2 linked regions of the Notamacropus eugenii genome follow. The protein of the gene in region 2 interacts with the protein of the main gene of each other region in a biochemical or structural test. Links are inferred from orthologs where the notes say so. Each region holds a gene or a part of one and is shown on either strand. Other genes may lie near its edges.

The links.
Region 1: the proteins of TRDN (region 2) and CASQ2 form a complex in vitro, tested with the Homo sapiens proteins (3 studies listed by BioGRID). The link is inferred for Notamacropus eugenii from reciprocal best matches to the Homo sapiens genes TRDN and CASQ2.

Annotation. Positions count from the first base shown.
Region 1 is NC_092873.1:295,289,151-295,296,418, reverse strand, and holds the start of CASQ2 (calsequestrin-2), read left to right. Parts: upstream 1-4,033; 5' UTR 4,034-4,296; coding exon 4,297-4,530; intron 4,531-7,268. UniProt on the Homo sapiens protein: Calsequestrin is a high-capacity, moderate affinity, calcium-binding protein and thus acts as an internal calcium store in muscle. Calcium ions are bound by clusters of acidic residues at the protein surface, especially at the interface between subunits.
Region 2 is NC_092873.1:206,686,567-206,694,744, forward strand, and holds the start of TRDN (triadin), read right to left. Parts: upstream 3,167-8,178; 5' UTR 2,589-3,166; coding exon 2,567-2,588; intron 1-2,566. UniProt on the Homo sapiens protein: Contributes to the regulation of lumenal Ca2+ release via the sarcoplasmic reticulum calcium release channels RYR1 and RYR2, a key step in triggering skeletal and heart muscle contraction.

The sequences.
Region 1 (7,268 bases), about 89 Mb from region 2:
CATGAGCAGCTAATATCAATCAATAAAGAAGCAGTGTGTGTGTGTATGTGTGTGTGAGTGTGTGTGTATGTGTGTGACTCTTTCCCCAGAGTCATCATTACCAAGATAGGGAAGACCACACACCATACAAGAAAGGCTTGGATCCTTTATAGTTTTGGGTGGTCTTGGAAAAACCTTCCTTCTGGGGGGAAGCCATATGGTCAAAATGGAGAGAAGCCAAAAATTTGAGTTCTCCTGCTGAACTGGCAGATAAAGAGGTCAGGGCCTAGCACACTTGCATTTGAAAACAGGAGGGAATGTAGACCAGATCAGATCAGAAACAGAAGCAAAGTACTAATAAGATCAGATGAGTTTGGCATCCAAAGTGGACTGAAGTGAAGTCCACAGTCTCCTCTGTCTACTTACTTTCCCAGAACACTGCCCAAGGAAGTTTAACTTGTCCAGCATTAACCTGTTTCTTCCTGGATCTCCCTCTGAGGAAAAGAGGGGATGAGGAAAGGGAGGAGGAAGGAGTAGAAAGAAATTCAACATCCTCCTAAAACTGCAAATCACGTTCCAACATGCTGTACTTTAATTCCTGTCTGTGTTTCTATACTATTTGCAGTTGCTATGAAAATATAGTCATTTACCATGATTTTATTTCAAGTCTATTAAGTGCACAGTTTGAGACTGAAACATGGGGAGCTAATTGAAAGGAACAAATTTTTCCCCCAAAAGAGGCTGGGGTGGGGACTGATGAAGCAATTAAAGAGAATTTCTGAAATTTTAGTAATATTTCAGAGCTTCTTCATACCTTAGACTGCTTTTTAAATCCAGGAAGAGACTTAATGAGAGAATAAACAAGGAAGACCTGAGTTTAAGGCCTGACTTGCACATACACTGACTGTGTGATCTTGGGCAGCTCTCAATGCCCCAGGTAAATCTCTTCAGCTCCAAGTTGTGATATAATTACAAACCTGCATTGGCAGAGGAATTTTTTTAATCTTGAGTTCCCTAAGCTAATGTAATTACAGGTACAGTATAAATAGGTATGTGTGTGTGTGTGTATCAGTAATAGTAATGCAACCTTTCATATATATGTATATGTGTACATATGCACACACATATATACATACATATATCTACAGATGTATATATGTGTATGCATATATTATAAATATATATGAAATATTACTTTGCAGATGATGAGTTCATTATCTCTGAGAACAAGAGAAAAACAGGAAATGGGCTAAAATGACAGAATGAGGGCTCACAAAACCATAGCTTTAGACCTGAAAAGCACTTTAGAGATTATCTAGTCTTTCTCTCCCATTTTACACATAAGGAAATTAAGACAGAGAGACAGATCTTATATGCTTTGCTCAGAGTCAGTGGCAGAAGTGGGATAGAAATATGGAATTTCTGGCAATAAGGGAGTAAGACAGTACTCAGAGTTTCTGACAGTTTCTGTGGAATCTCATTTTGTGGTGTTGCTCTTATTGGTTTATTCATTAAGTCAGTGTAGAGTCACATGTAATATTGGATGGTTTGAATGTCCCCAAGATAGCAGAAGGTTACAGATGAAGCCCCCAGGCATGTGAGTCAATACATACATATATAGGAGTGAGAGGGAAAGAATATCCCCCATTTTCATCATTCCACATCTTAGAAGAGGAATATCCTCCCCCTCTTCATGAGGAGGAGCAGTAAGTGTTTTCATTTGGTGTCCTAGCAAAGCCCAGGCTGGAGGGCAGTGGGGAAACCGTTGTTCTTCAGTCTTTCAGCTGCGATTAACTCTTCATGACCCCCTGGGCCATCACAATCCAGGTCCTTCTGGACACTTCCAGACACTTCCAGATCTGTTTAAGCTCATGTTCATTGTTTCCATGACACTAACTTCTCATTCTTTGTCATCCCCTTTTCCTTTTGCCTTCAATCTTCCCCAACATCAGAGTCTTTTCCAATGAGTCCCATCTTCTCATTATGTGGTCAAAGTATTTAAGGATAAGGAATATATAATATGTGATATAATATATAATATAACTTCTACATTATATTGTATGATGTTATACTATATGATATGATATAATATATAAGTGATACAGTGGGAAGCAATAAATCTATAGATGAAGAGCTCAGAGTACATTGCAAGCTTTCCCCAAAATACTAGCAATAATTGTGAACTGGTCCAACGTGGAATACAATTTAGAGCCATGTTACTGGTCATATACCCTAAGTAGGTCAAAGATGGAGGGAAAAGTCATACATAAGTATATATGTATATATATATATATATATACATATACACACACACACACACACACATATATATATATATATATATATATATATATATATATATATATATATATATATATATATATATATATATATATATATATATATATATATATATATCAAGACAGTAATATCAGTACTTTTGGGGAAGCAGCAAAATAAACAAGCAAACCAGAAAAAAAAACTGGAAACAAGGTAGGTGGTCATAGGTTTGGAAATGACTGAACAAATTGTGATATGGCATTTGAATATAATAGAATATTATTGTCTCATATGAAATAAAGACTGAGGGATGAGAACAACTTGTTTGAATTGCTATGAAGCAAAATCTGTAAAACCCCTGATAAAATATATACAATGACTACAATAATGTGAAGAAAACAATTCTAAAGGGACATCAATATTCAGATCAATATAATGCCTCATTGTGACTCCAGATGACTGATGCTCAAACATGAATTTCTTCTCTCAGTAGTCAAGTGGGGGCACCATGATTGTATAATAAGGCATACATTGTCTAACATATTCCATTTGGCAGTTGGATTTTCCCAACTGTACTCCTTTGTTTAAAATAAAAAAAGGAACAATCTACTGGGGTAAGACAGTTAATGGGATTTGAAGTCAATGCTGTTTTTTTTAAAGCACTGGTAAAACATTTACAAAGAATTCTTCCCACTTTCTTTCCATCGTTGCACAAAATACACCAATGGTAGCTGGAATGAGGACCTGTGCATGAGTTGCTTGAAGGTAAAATTAGGAGACTGTTGTGCAAGAGTACTGGCTGTCGGTTGATTGTTGTCCTTCATCTTCGAAGATGACCAAAATGACATCACTATTGTAAAGTGAAATTTCAGTGTGTCCTACTGTGGCTGATCACACCAATACAAGCTCAGAATGCTCTAACACAAGTTGGGCACAGAGAGTCCACATGAATATTTGGGGTGGATATCCCAAATTTGTGCATCCTATATTTACTTTGTGCTGTCTCAATTCTGCTTTGCTCAAAGAGCACAGCACCTTTTCTTATGTGGGCATGCCATGCTAAGTGGTCCTGTGCCAGTGTCTCCCATGTTGCACAGTCAAATCCAAAGTTCTTGAGAGAGACCTTGAGAGTGTCCTTGTATAGTTTCTTCTGGCCACCATGTGATCGCCTGCCCCATGCAAGTTCTCCATAAAATAGTTGGGGCAGGTGATCACATGGTGGCCAGAAGAAACTATACAAGGACACTGTCAAGGTACCAGCTGTAGAGTTTGTGAAACTGAATTCCTTTTCCTCCCCCACACCTACTACTAGTGTGGTCTTAGGCAAGTCATTGAACCTCTAGGGGTCTCAGTTTCTTCATTTGTAAAATGAAGGAGTAGAATTAGATGAGATCTAAGGTCCTTTCCAACTCTAAATTCTATAATTCTACTAATTAACTGAATTACCTTTCAAGACCCTGTCCAACCCAAAGATTCCATACCTGTGGGGTATATTGTGATCCTTTTTCAAAATATCCATTAGCTAATTGGAGCCCTTGAACCTTATCTCTTTTCTCCTCTCTTCTTTCTGTGTCCTTTATAGCCATCTCACTGATTTCTGCATTCTCTTCTCCCCCCTCCACCCACCTCCATAGTGTCAGCGAATCCCTCAATAGTGTCATATCTGTCCTTTTTATTCATTGCAGGGTTTATTTTTAGCCTGAAACAACTGCATCCTAAAAATGGAGTTCCTCACAACACAGGAGTTGGGCCAAGCTATGTAAGGTATCTCGGCTTTGGCTTGACAGCTTCCCCTGCCTGTCTCTCTTTGTACACGCACATGTGTGTGAGACCGTCTGGGGCTCTTTGTCCTGAGTCCCATAACTGCAAAGTTAACTGGGCTGGAAGAGTTTGGATCAAACAACAGAAGGGCAAAAGAAAGGCAAATTCCATATAAACTGGTTCTAGCCCTTGGCTCCAACACGACCCAAGTAGCCTTTTCTTCTTTACTGCACTGGATTATTTCTAGGGAAGGACAGGCAGAGAGGGTCATCCTCAATGAAGGTAGCTTCTCTTTTACTAGTGGGTTTTTACCTGCTGCCTTCTTGTAGGACAGAAGAGGGACTGAACTTCCCCAGTTATGATGGGAAGGACCGGGTAATAAGTCTCAATGAGAAGAACTACAAGCAACTTCTGAAGAAATATGACCTGCTCTGCCTCTTCTACCATGAGCCAGTGTCTTCTGATAAAGTCTCCCAAAAGCAGTTCCAAATGAAAGAAATTGTCCTAGAGGTAAGTGGACAACATGCCTGCAAAAGTTGTCCAAATGAGTATATGGACATTTGTGTGTATGTTTAGGGATGTATGTGTATGTGTGTGTTTACTCAGGGGAATCTGTGGTGGGAGCATGTGAGTAGAGTACATTAATATCTAGTGGTGCCTTGATCTCACATCTATTTCAGTCCAAATATGTCTCTACAGTACCAATTGGGTCACAGAACGAGCCACCTGACCAAGAAGCAACATTCAGAAACATGGCCCCACATAGGAATGATGTACAGCACTCATGTGTGAGCTGTCTTTGGTTTTCCAGGAGTTGTTTTCCCCAAATCTCTTATCCCTTTGGCAGTCTTTGATTCCCTCATCTTGGGGTAAGGCTTCCACTGGAGGCCATGTAGGGAAAAATAAAAGCAAGGAGTTGACATCCAGTAGTTTGCCCATGGGTTCTGGCAAAAGGTTGAGCAAAAGATTTACGCAATATAATGAGATGTAGTGAGATTTGGGGATTACCCGTGTGTCTTATTCACTGGTCCTTGGTCCTCCAGAACTAGACACTGACCTTTGCTCTATCCATTGATAAGGTGGGAAAACAATACAAAATGAGTCTTGTTCTATCTCATTTTGTTATTGTTGTTTAGTCATTTTCAATCTCATAATTTGGCTCAAATCTACATGAGTAGAGATTAACTCAAAGAGTTTTTTCTCATAAAAGTCTGTTAGTTGGGAAAAGACACTGGTAGAAGACAGCTCTCATTTCATCTGGTTCATATGGGCTGTTTATAGCCTGGCATGGTGCCAAGTGTGCAATCTACTGTGAATGTGTGGAGGGTTTGTCCTTTAGAGGCCATCTAGACATCTTAAGATCTCTGTAATTGCCAGTACCCACAAGTGCCAGGCATTCTAGGAGGCTCTTAGATTTCTTTTCAGTCAAAGCTATGCTCTCCTTCTTAACGTGACTACCTAGCACAGCCTTGTCCACGTGGAAAATACCAGTTGGAGATTAGGGTAGTCTCTCTATTATCTGATTTACTCAGAGTGTTCTAGTTAATCCAAGAATAGCCAGATCTTTGGATAATGATAAAGTTACCATTTATAGAACACACTGATCATCAGCTTTCAAAGAATTAAAATATAATAAGAGCATACAAGAACAAAACTAAGCTGACTATAGATGGTCTCTGAGAATTCAGAAACTAAAGACCTTGCAGGGTGTTAGGGTTATGTCTAAAATAATACATTTTACCTAGCAGTCTAAGATTTATGAAGTACTTGGCTTATGGCAAGCTTGCAAAGTAATATCTTTATTAAAGATATTATATCTCTAATAAATATTTTAATAAATGTTTCAAGTATTTAATAATAAAATTTAAATTTATTTTAAAATAAAATATTTTTTAAAAAATATTTTAATAAAAATAAAGATATCTTTATTATCTTTATTTTTCAGAAGTGGAAAATGAGGCTCACATGTGTTGTCCAGAGTTGCATAACAAGTAAAGAACCAGAATGGTCATCTGACACCAGCTCTAATATGCTTCCCATTACACAAAAGAAAAATATGTTTTTAAATACTTATGATGTGTCCCAGTATTATGCTAAGTGCTTTACAAATATATCTCATTTGATCCTCCCACAAAACCCTGGTTGTTAAATTTTTATTATATCTACTTTACAGATGAGGAAACTGATGCAAATGAGGTTAAGTGACCTGCACAGCAACTAAGTATCTGAGGCTGGAATTGAACTCATGTCCTTCTGACTCCAGATTCAGCATTCCAACCCTCTGGGACACTTATCCGCCTCTAACTATGTGGTTTAAGAACAAGCAGCTGGAATGGGAAATGAACCCTGAATTTAGAGTTAGAAGACCTGAATTCAAGTTCTAACTCTGGTGCTTGCTATCTGTGTGACCTCAGGCAAATAACTTCCAGATTGTGGTTTTCTCACTGATAAAATGAGAGTTGGATTACATCATTTCTAAGGTCCCTGCCAGCTCTAAATCCACTTAACCTTTGCCTCAGTTTCCTTGGCTGTAAAACGGGGATAATAAGCATCTACCTCACAGGTTTGTTGTGAAGGTCTATCTAATGAGATTATATAAAGCACTTAGCACAATGCCTAGAACATAGTAAGTGCTTAATAAATGCTAATTCCCCTTCTTCCCCCTTGTTATATCTCGGACCCTCCTTTTTTGGTCATATATTTTTGTAATGATATCTTTTATTTCATTTCTTACTCATAGTTCCTGAGGTCTTGAGATAATATTGATAATAATAATAATAAATAATGATAATAGCTAGTATTTAAATAGTGTTTTAAGGTTTGCAAAATGCTTCACAGATCTGACCTCATGTTGTTGACCTCACTGTTGTGGGTCCGGGGAGTGGCATCTATTATTATCAGTGCCAGTACTCACAGCACCATAGGCCACTCTGCCTCTGCATGTGAGCATCCATTGCCATTTCACTGACAGGATGGAGATTTAGAGTTGGGAGGGATCTTAGAGATCTCCATGTCCAACTGCCTCTCTTTACAAAGGAGTACATAGAAGCCCAAGAAGGTCAAGTGACTTGGGAATCTCTTTCAAAGAGAAGTCTGGGCTCATGACTGGATGATTGATTCAAAGAGTCACACAGTTAATAAGTATCTGAGGCAGGATCTGAACTCAGATCTCCCTGATTCCATGTCACCGCACTACCATGCCAGTCAATAGCTAGAGCAGCCTCACAGTGCAGTGTAGATGGCACTCA
Region 2 (8,178 bases):
AGCCATGAGATATATGCACAGTTAAATGGTTTCCAGTATCACTAGCACCCACGGCACAAGTCTGAACAGCCTTCCACAACAAACTAACTCTATGTGTGATTATGGGCCAGTCTCTTGATCTCTCTGGGTTTCAGTTTTCTCATACAGAAATAAAGATGAGGGTTGAAGGGGCAGGCATGGTAGACTAGATTGTCTCTGAGGTTTCTCCTAGCTCTAAAATTCCATAATCCTTTTCCTTGATATGTAGCAAATGAAGGAGAAGGCCATTTGATAAATAGTTTAGCTACAGCAAAGTGTGACATATTGTTTAAGTTAAGCAGAAGTGCCCGAGAGCAAAGGCAAAGAAAGTGTGTTATAATACATAGCTTAATAGTTGGAGAGGGCACCTTGAACACCCTTATGCATTAACTCTAACACCTATCTTCAGGGGCAAGCTCTCTCTAGCAGACAGGCTAATGGCATTTGACTATCACTGAAATGAAAGACATAAAAGGAGAGAGAAAAAGCTGGAAATGACGATGCAGGGATTTAAGATCCTATGAAGCTGGAGTAGTCAGGGCATAGATAATATTCTGAGCTCTGGCTGAGGGTCATTTAAGAAATTAGATTCTAAATGTTGATTACTGTATATACGACATACAAAAAGGAAGGATATCATCCCCACTGCTCCTAAAATGCTACACTTGGGGACAGTAGGAACTAGCATTTTAGCATGTAACCAAGACTTCACTTGCAGAAAGCTTCCACAAACAATTGCAAAGATCTACTGAGCCTGCTCCAAGTACAAGTAAGGAATGGTTTATTTTAGCCAGTTGGTATTATAATTCTGCTGAAGGTCAATGCTATTCAGAGGTAAAGAACTAAGGACACGTGTCTCTAAATACCATGCACAGGGCTGGAGTTGTGGTTATCATGTAGAGCCTTCTCCAAGAATAAACCAAATAGAACGTGAGTCGTATATCAAACAGATTAATAAGCATTTATTCAACTCTTCCAAAATGCTGGACTTCAGGTTGGGAAAACCTGGGCTCAAATCTCCCCTTAGATACATACTAGCTTTATGACTCAGTTTTCTCATATATAAAATGTGGATTATAATGTATGTAGTAACTAAAAAAGATTTTTTTAATGCTCAGAGGAAATGACATGTAAAGGGTTTTTGCAAATTTTAAATTCCTGTATAAATTGCTTTATAAATGTTGGTCCTCAAACAATAGAAGAAACAAAATAACACAAAACTGTTCACATTCAGCCTCCAAATTCTAAATGGTAGATTGAATAATGTTAAATTTTGGTGTCTTTTAAATTACAAGGCATAAAACATTTGGAAAATGCAAATGATTATTTCTTAGATTCTCATGACAATTTCCAGCTACAAGCTTGCAAAGAAAAATAAGGAACTGAAAATTTGACCCTGGCCTAATAACCTCACAAAGAGCTAAGACCACAAACCTCCTATTTCACCAGCTCCTCTGGCCAACACTCCAATCTGGAAACTGTCGAGCACTAAGGACCACCTGTTTCATTTTCTTCTAACTGCCAGAAGCAAATTAGAGATAGATGAGCTCTGAACTCTGAAACTTAAAAGCTATATTAAATGTGTTCTCATTTTTCTAAAGAATGGAGGTGACGTCTTTCCTTTAGCAGATTTCTTCCTTATCAGTGGGCAAGGAATTTGGATTTTTGGAAACTAAACTATGTCTCCTCTCTCTCTCTCTCTCTCTCTCTCTCTCTCTCTCTCTCTCTCTCTCTCTCTCTCTCTCTCTCTCTCTCTCTCCCTCCCTCTCCCTCTCCTCTCTCTCTCTCTCATTGATCTAAAGTAATTTTGTTTTACTATAAAAATATTCAGCTGAATGTTCAACGGAATATAAAATATACCAAGACTATTTTAGACTAAGCATATTTTCATGTTTGTGTGACTACACAAGGTATTCCGAAAGCCTTAGTATAATTTTAAACAATTAATGATTTTAAACTATTAATATTTTAAATTGCACTAAGACTTTTGTATATATTTATATACACATATGTAGGAAGATACATACATATTTTTATATATGATAAGCTACAAGAAAAGAAGTAAAATGCTAATCTTGAATTAACTCAGCTGTGTATATGTACATATATGTATATGTACACACGTGTCTGTGTGTGTTTAAAAACAAGATATCTTCAAGGATAAATATTAAGCCTAATTGTTTAAGTTTAGCATAAACTCCACCCACTCTCATGGAAGGTTCATACTCAGGCACCTACTCTCATATTACAGATACAGAGCTATTTATAGAATTGGGGGCCAATAAGTTTTTTAACCAGTAGGCCCACCGGCCAGCCCTTAACAGTTCCCCCACAACAAAGCAGACACGTATAGAACCCTTCCCATCTCACCCCCACAACAAAGTCCCCTGAGGCCCCAGCCCCCTACACAATCACAAACAACATACACCACGCTGTGTATTCCAGTCTGAAAATGGCAGGGGCCTCTTTCCATCTGTTGTACATCAATTCAGTGCATCTGTCATATTCAAGATCTCCCTACAGTTGTGTTAGAAAATGGTTACAGTACCTTCTGCTGTGATCTCAGTCATGGTGGCAGGGGTGAGTGTTAGTTTAAAAAAGTGCTGTTAAGATGGCAGTCTGAAGAATGCTTCAGGGTCCTGGAGCTGGCCCAGCCAGAGGGTGCACTGTTCACTTGTGGGGGGCCCCTGCTTTTTTCCTTGCTGTTCTAGCTGCTTCTTGGGGCTTCGTTGAACTTTGGGTCTCTTCTGCACAGTTCTCCCCCCGGAAACAACCTGAACCCTCTTCTAGGCAGTGACTTTAACTCATGCAAAAAGTATCAGCTTCGAACAAAAATAGCCCTGCCTGCCTCCCTCGGACTTGGCACTGCTGAGACCCCCCCACCCCCACCTCCACACACATCCACACACCCGGGAGCACAAGCACACCAGCTCTCCAGTGCCAAAGGGGAGCAACCAAGCCGAGAGATGGAAAGATCCCGGGCACCAACAGATGCACACGTGCTCACACACAGGCAAAATAACTAGGAAGAAGCAGGCAAACCCCCACAGCAATCCCAGGATAATTACAGATCTTTGGGGTCTGTGTCACAGAAAACAAAATGTGTTGAGAGTAACCTTATCCACAGGAGCTCAGGTTTATTCTTAGTGCACTCAATGCCGGGTACATTCTCCCTTTCCTTATTTGGGCTGGGGAGGGTCCCTTGCTGTCTCCCGGAGCCAAAGGGGAGGACAGACTTAGGTAATTCTCTCCAATGTGAATCTCTGTCTGTCCCAGCTCCCCTTGGTGACTCTACTTATTAATGCAAGGTCACATTTGTCAGCACAGCTACTAAGACCTGTAGCTTCCTCAAGTTAATAGTTTCACATGGGAGAAAGTGGCTGTCAAATACTGAAAGAAAATAATAATCATAACCCACAGCTTTTGAATTTACTAGACCATGAGTAGAGAAACTGCTACCTCCCTCAAGGCCACATGTGGCCCTCTAGGTCCTCAAGTATGGCCCATTGACTGAATCCAAACTTCACAGAACAAAAGTTTGGATTCAGTCAAAGGGCTGATGTCGGTTTGTTCTGTGAAGTTTGGATTCAGTCAAAAGACTATACTTGAGGACCTAGAGGGCCACATGTGGCCTTGAGGCCACAGATTCCACACCCTTGTACCATACAATACTGGGGGACCCATGCATTCTAAACATTTATGTGCAATAAAAAACTTTGCAGAAAACTTAAATCTCTTGCAGTCATCTTGGTGGAGGGAAGGTGGAGAGAGGGTTATAGTCACAAGTAATTCTCAAACCTCATCTTACAAAGTAATGTCAAGTTTCTTCTCTATAGCCCTCGTCCTCTCTCAAGATGATCTGGGATGCTTAATAATTAGTCAAATTAGCTGATTGTATTTCACCGTCCCACCTAGGGTAAGGTGATAATGAACAAAGAAATATTCTAATGATTGATAGTAGAGGTGGGAGATGGAGGCTCAAAGGCCATTGATAATTCATAAATTCATAAACAGTTCCTAAATTCTTAAGTCTTGACAGTTCCTATGTATGAGTTCCATCTTCCTAACCAAGACAACTTTAGGTTAGCTAACCTTTTTATCTTCAACTTGTTGGTTTTTTCTCCTAGAATATGAATATTTTCCATATTTGTTGTAGTCTCTACATTATGGAAACCTCCAGTGGGATTCACATACTTACTACTTGCAGATAATGGTGGGTATCACAGTTTGGCTCACTAGAAGAATCAGAGCACTCTGAAGGCAAATGCAGGCTAGAAGGTCAGTGTTTGATACTAGGGCAATTAGTTCCTTCCCAGTTTATGCCCCCAAGACCCTTTCCATTTAATTTCACTCAAATATTTTTAATCTTTGGACAAAATAGGTCTTAATGTTTAAATCCATCAAGCATTTTAATTGCTTTTCAGTACAGTCAGTCATCTCAGCCAATAAAAACAGAGAACAGGGTCATTTGTTCCCCAGAGTGAAAATCACAAAATCACTGATTCAGGACTGGCAGGGTCCTTAGAGGGAAAGACAAGGGAATGAGCATTTATGCCATATGTACTATGTGCCAGGCACTATGCTAAGGACTTCATAAATATTACCTTAGAGGCCGCTGAATCCCACCTCCTCATTCGATAGAAAAAGAAACCAAGGCTAAAAGAGATTAAATAACTTTCTTAGGGTCAAACACCGATTATGTGTTTGAGACAGGATTGTACAACAGGTCTTTGACTCTCAGCCTAGCCCTATCCAATGTGCCACCTAGCTGCTTTAAATAAAATGGCTAGTCAATTACTGATGCCAAATTTCCCCTGTGCCACAACCTCCCCCCCTTGAAAAATGACTTCATGTCAGCCAGTCTTGTCAAACATAAATTTTAAATTTGTACTAATCAAGGTTTTAAGTTCTACATCTGAGAAATACTACCTGAGTGACCTCTATAAAACATAGAAGAATTAACCATTTATTACCAATCACTAACCATTCATTAGGTACACTATGACCATAGCATTGTGTTGGTCTCTGGGGATATAATAAAATAGAGTCAGACTCAAGGAGCTTATATTTTATGATAAGTAGAGAGAGATTCCACACTGGAACCAACAAAGAATAATGAAACTTCATTAGTATTCCTCTCCCCCATTCATTCATGAAGTATATGTGAGAAAAGGAGGATGAAAACAAAACGTTTGTTACTGCTGTTCAGTCGTTTCAGTCAGGTGTGACTCTTCATGACCCCCATTTGGGATTTTCTTGGCAAAGATATTGGAGTGGTTTGCCATTTCCTTCGCCAGATCCAAAAAAAAAAAAAAATTAGTTGATTTAAAAAAAAAACAAAAACTTTGTGCTGCTTTAAAACCTTTTTTTTTTTTTTAGCCTCCCCAAAAAAACAAAAAAGAGCTTGTGAATGTTTCTTTCATTGAGAATATAATGTATTTCTCATAAGAGCCCTATTCAGGTTTTGGCAAATACCATTTTGTTGCTAAACTGGATCACTTGATACCTTCAGAAAACTAAAAGCTGACTATCTTGTCAATGAAAGCATCAATCAGTTAGCAAACAAGCATCTGCTAAGCATTTCAGTAGGTGTGTATAATGTCTTTCTCCTGGAAACTCAAATAATGAATATACCTTCCCAGGGAATAAGCTGCTTAGTTTTGAGACACTCATTAAACCCTTAAACCTTTAGGGTCGATTTATGGGTTGTTGTCTTAAGTGGCAGTGGATTGAGGTCATTAAACTGAGACTAGATGGCTACTTGTGAGGGATATTATAGAGGGAGTTCTGCAGGTATGGGTTGGACTAGATAGTCTCCAAGGTCTTTTATAATTTTTTATAAGTGTCCTGGAAGACTTAAATAAGGAGTCAAGAGATTTGGTTACGTATCCTAGCTCTTCAACATATTAGGTACGCGGTCATGGGCAAGCCATTTTACTTTTCTAAGGCTATTTTTTTGTCTGTAAACTAGGAATGATATTTACATTATCTCCCTCAGAGGATGCCTTTGAAGTATGGCCTTTAAAGGGCCATGTAATTGAGAACCATCATTCAGTCTAAAATGTGAACAATTCTCAAGATCTAGTTAGTTTTCATCTTTCCAATCAGTCCACCAAGCAGCATTTATTGTGTCCCTACTATGTGTTGGCAGTGTGCTAGTTACAAAGAAAGAAGGAAAGAAAGAAAGAGAGAGAGAGAGAGAGAGAGAGAGAGAGAGAGAGAGAGAGAGAGAGAGAGGAAGGAAGGAAGGAAGGAAGGAAGGAAGGAAGGAAGGAAGGAAGGAAGGAAGGAAGGAAGGAAGGAAGGAAGAAAGGAAGGAAGAAAGAAAGAAAGAGAAAGAGACCTTTTGTTTTCAAGGAGAACGTACTTATTATAAAATTACATTTCTAGTTCCTACAATGAATGAATGAATGAAGCATATATTAAGCACTATGTTCAAAGTCCCAGAGATATGAAAAGAAAAGAAAGATATTTCCCATTTTCAAAGAGCTCACCCATTTGGAAGACTTTCATTTCAAATCAAATGCAAAAATCTCGTGGTACCTAGGGTGTAATGACAAAGCAGTACCAACAAAGATATCCTTGTTTTTACAAAATGAAAAATGTATGAAATAATGGAATTCTATAACTTTCCATATAGGTCTAGAATTGAATTTAGGCCTGTAGTATCCTATTCAATGGTTTAAATCATGTTATTTCTCTGATCCTATTATACCCATCATTCAACATTTATTAAGAATTTAATCTGTGCAGTGTAGTAGGCTAGAGACTGGAGCATATACAAATATAAGTAGGAAATGGCCTGTATCTTTAAGAAATTTAGGGTCTAGAAGGGGTCATAAGACATGTGCAGAATCTTGTAGTAGATTATGTATAATTAGAATATGTATAACACTATAAAGTTCTCCTTTGGGTGTAGTTCCTGAGGGAAGAATCCTTTCCAACTGGAGAAACCAGAGAAATTTTTATAAAGAGAGGATAGAAGATCTTGGATAATGATTTATAACCAGCCTTACCGCTGAATTGTCTCAGTATGAGACTGTCATTACTGAAAGTAAATTTCTATTTCTCCCCAATTTATCTTTCATCCTCTGTCTTTCCAGAACAAGCAGTAAAGAGGATTTTCTCAATATTTTTTTCAGTTTTTTTATTAATAATATTTTTTATGAATTATATATCAAGATAATTTTTAGCATTCATTTTTACAAGATTGAGTTCCAAATTTTGCTCCCTCTCCTCCCCTCTTCCTAAAAAAGGTAGAGAATTTGATATAGGTTATACATGTGTTGTCAGGTAAAACATATTTCTATATTAGTCACAGTTGTGAAAGAAGAAACAGATTAAAAGAAAAAAACACAAGAAAGAAGAAAGTGAAAGAAATATGCTTTGATTTGCATTGAGGCCATCATTTCTTTATCTGAATGTGGATAGCATTTTCCTTCATGAGTCCTTTGTATTTGTCTTGGATCATCGTGTTGCTGAATAAAACTGAGTCATTCATAGTTGGTCATCATACAATGCTGTTGATATTGTGCGCAGCGTCTTCCTGGCTCTGCTCATTTCACTTTGCATCAGTTTGTACAAGTCTTTCCAAGTTTTTCTGATATGTTCCTGTTCATCATTTCTTATTGCACAATAGTATCCCATTCCATTCATATATACATTCCTACAATACACATTCATATGTTCAGCCATTCCCCAGTTGATGGGCATCTCCTCAGTTTCTAATGTTTTGCTACCACAAAAAAGGGCTGCCATAAATATTTTTGTACATGTAGTTCCTTTCCCCTTTTTGATGATCTCTTTGGGATAAAAGCCTAGTAGTGGTTTTATAGAATCAAAGGGTATGTGCAGTTTGGTTACCCTTTGTGCATAGTTCCAAATTGCTCTCCATAATGGTTGAATCAGTTCACAGCTCCACCAGAAGTGCATTAGTGTCCCAATTTTCCTACATCCTCTCCAACATTTATCATTTTCCTGTTTTTGGTCATTTTAGCCAATTTGATAGATGTGAGGCAGAATCTCAGAGTTGTTTTAATTCACATTTCTTTAATCAAAAATGATTTAGAGTACTTCTTCATATGCCTATAGATAGCTCTGATTTCTTCATCTGCCATATCTTTTAACCATTTCTCAATTGAGGAATGGCTTGTATTCATA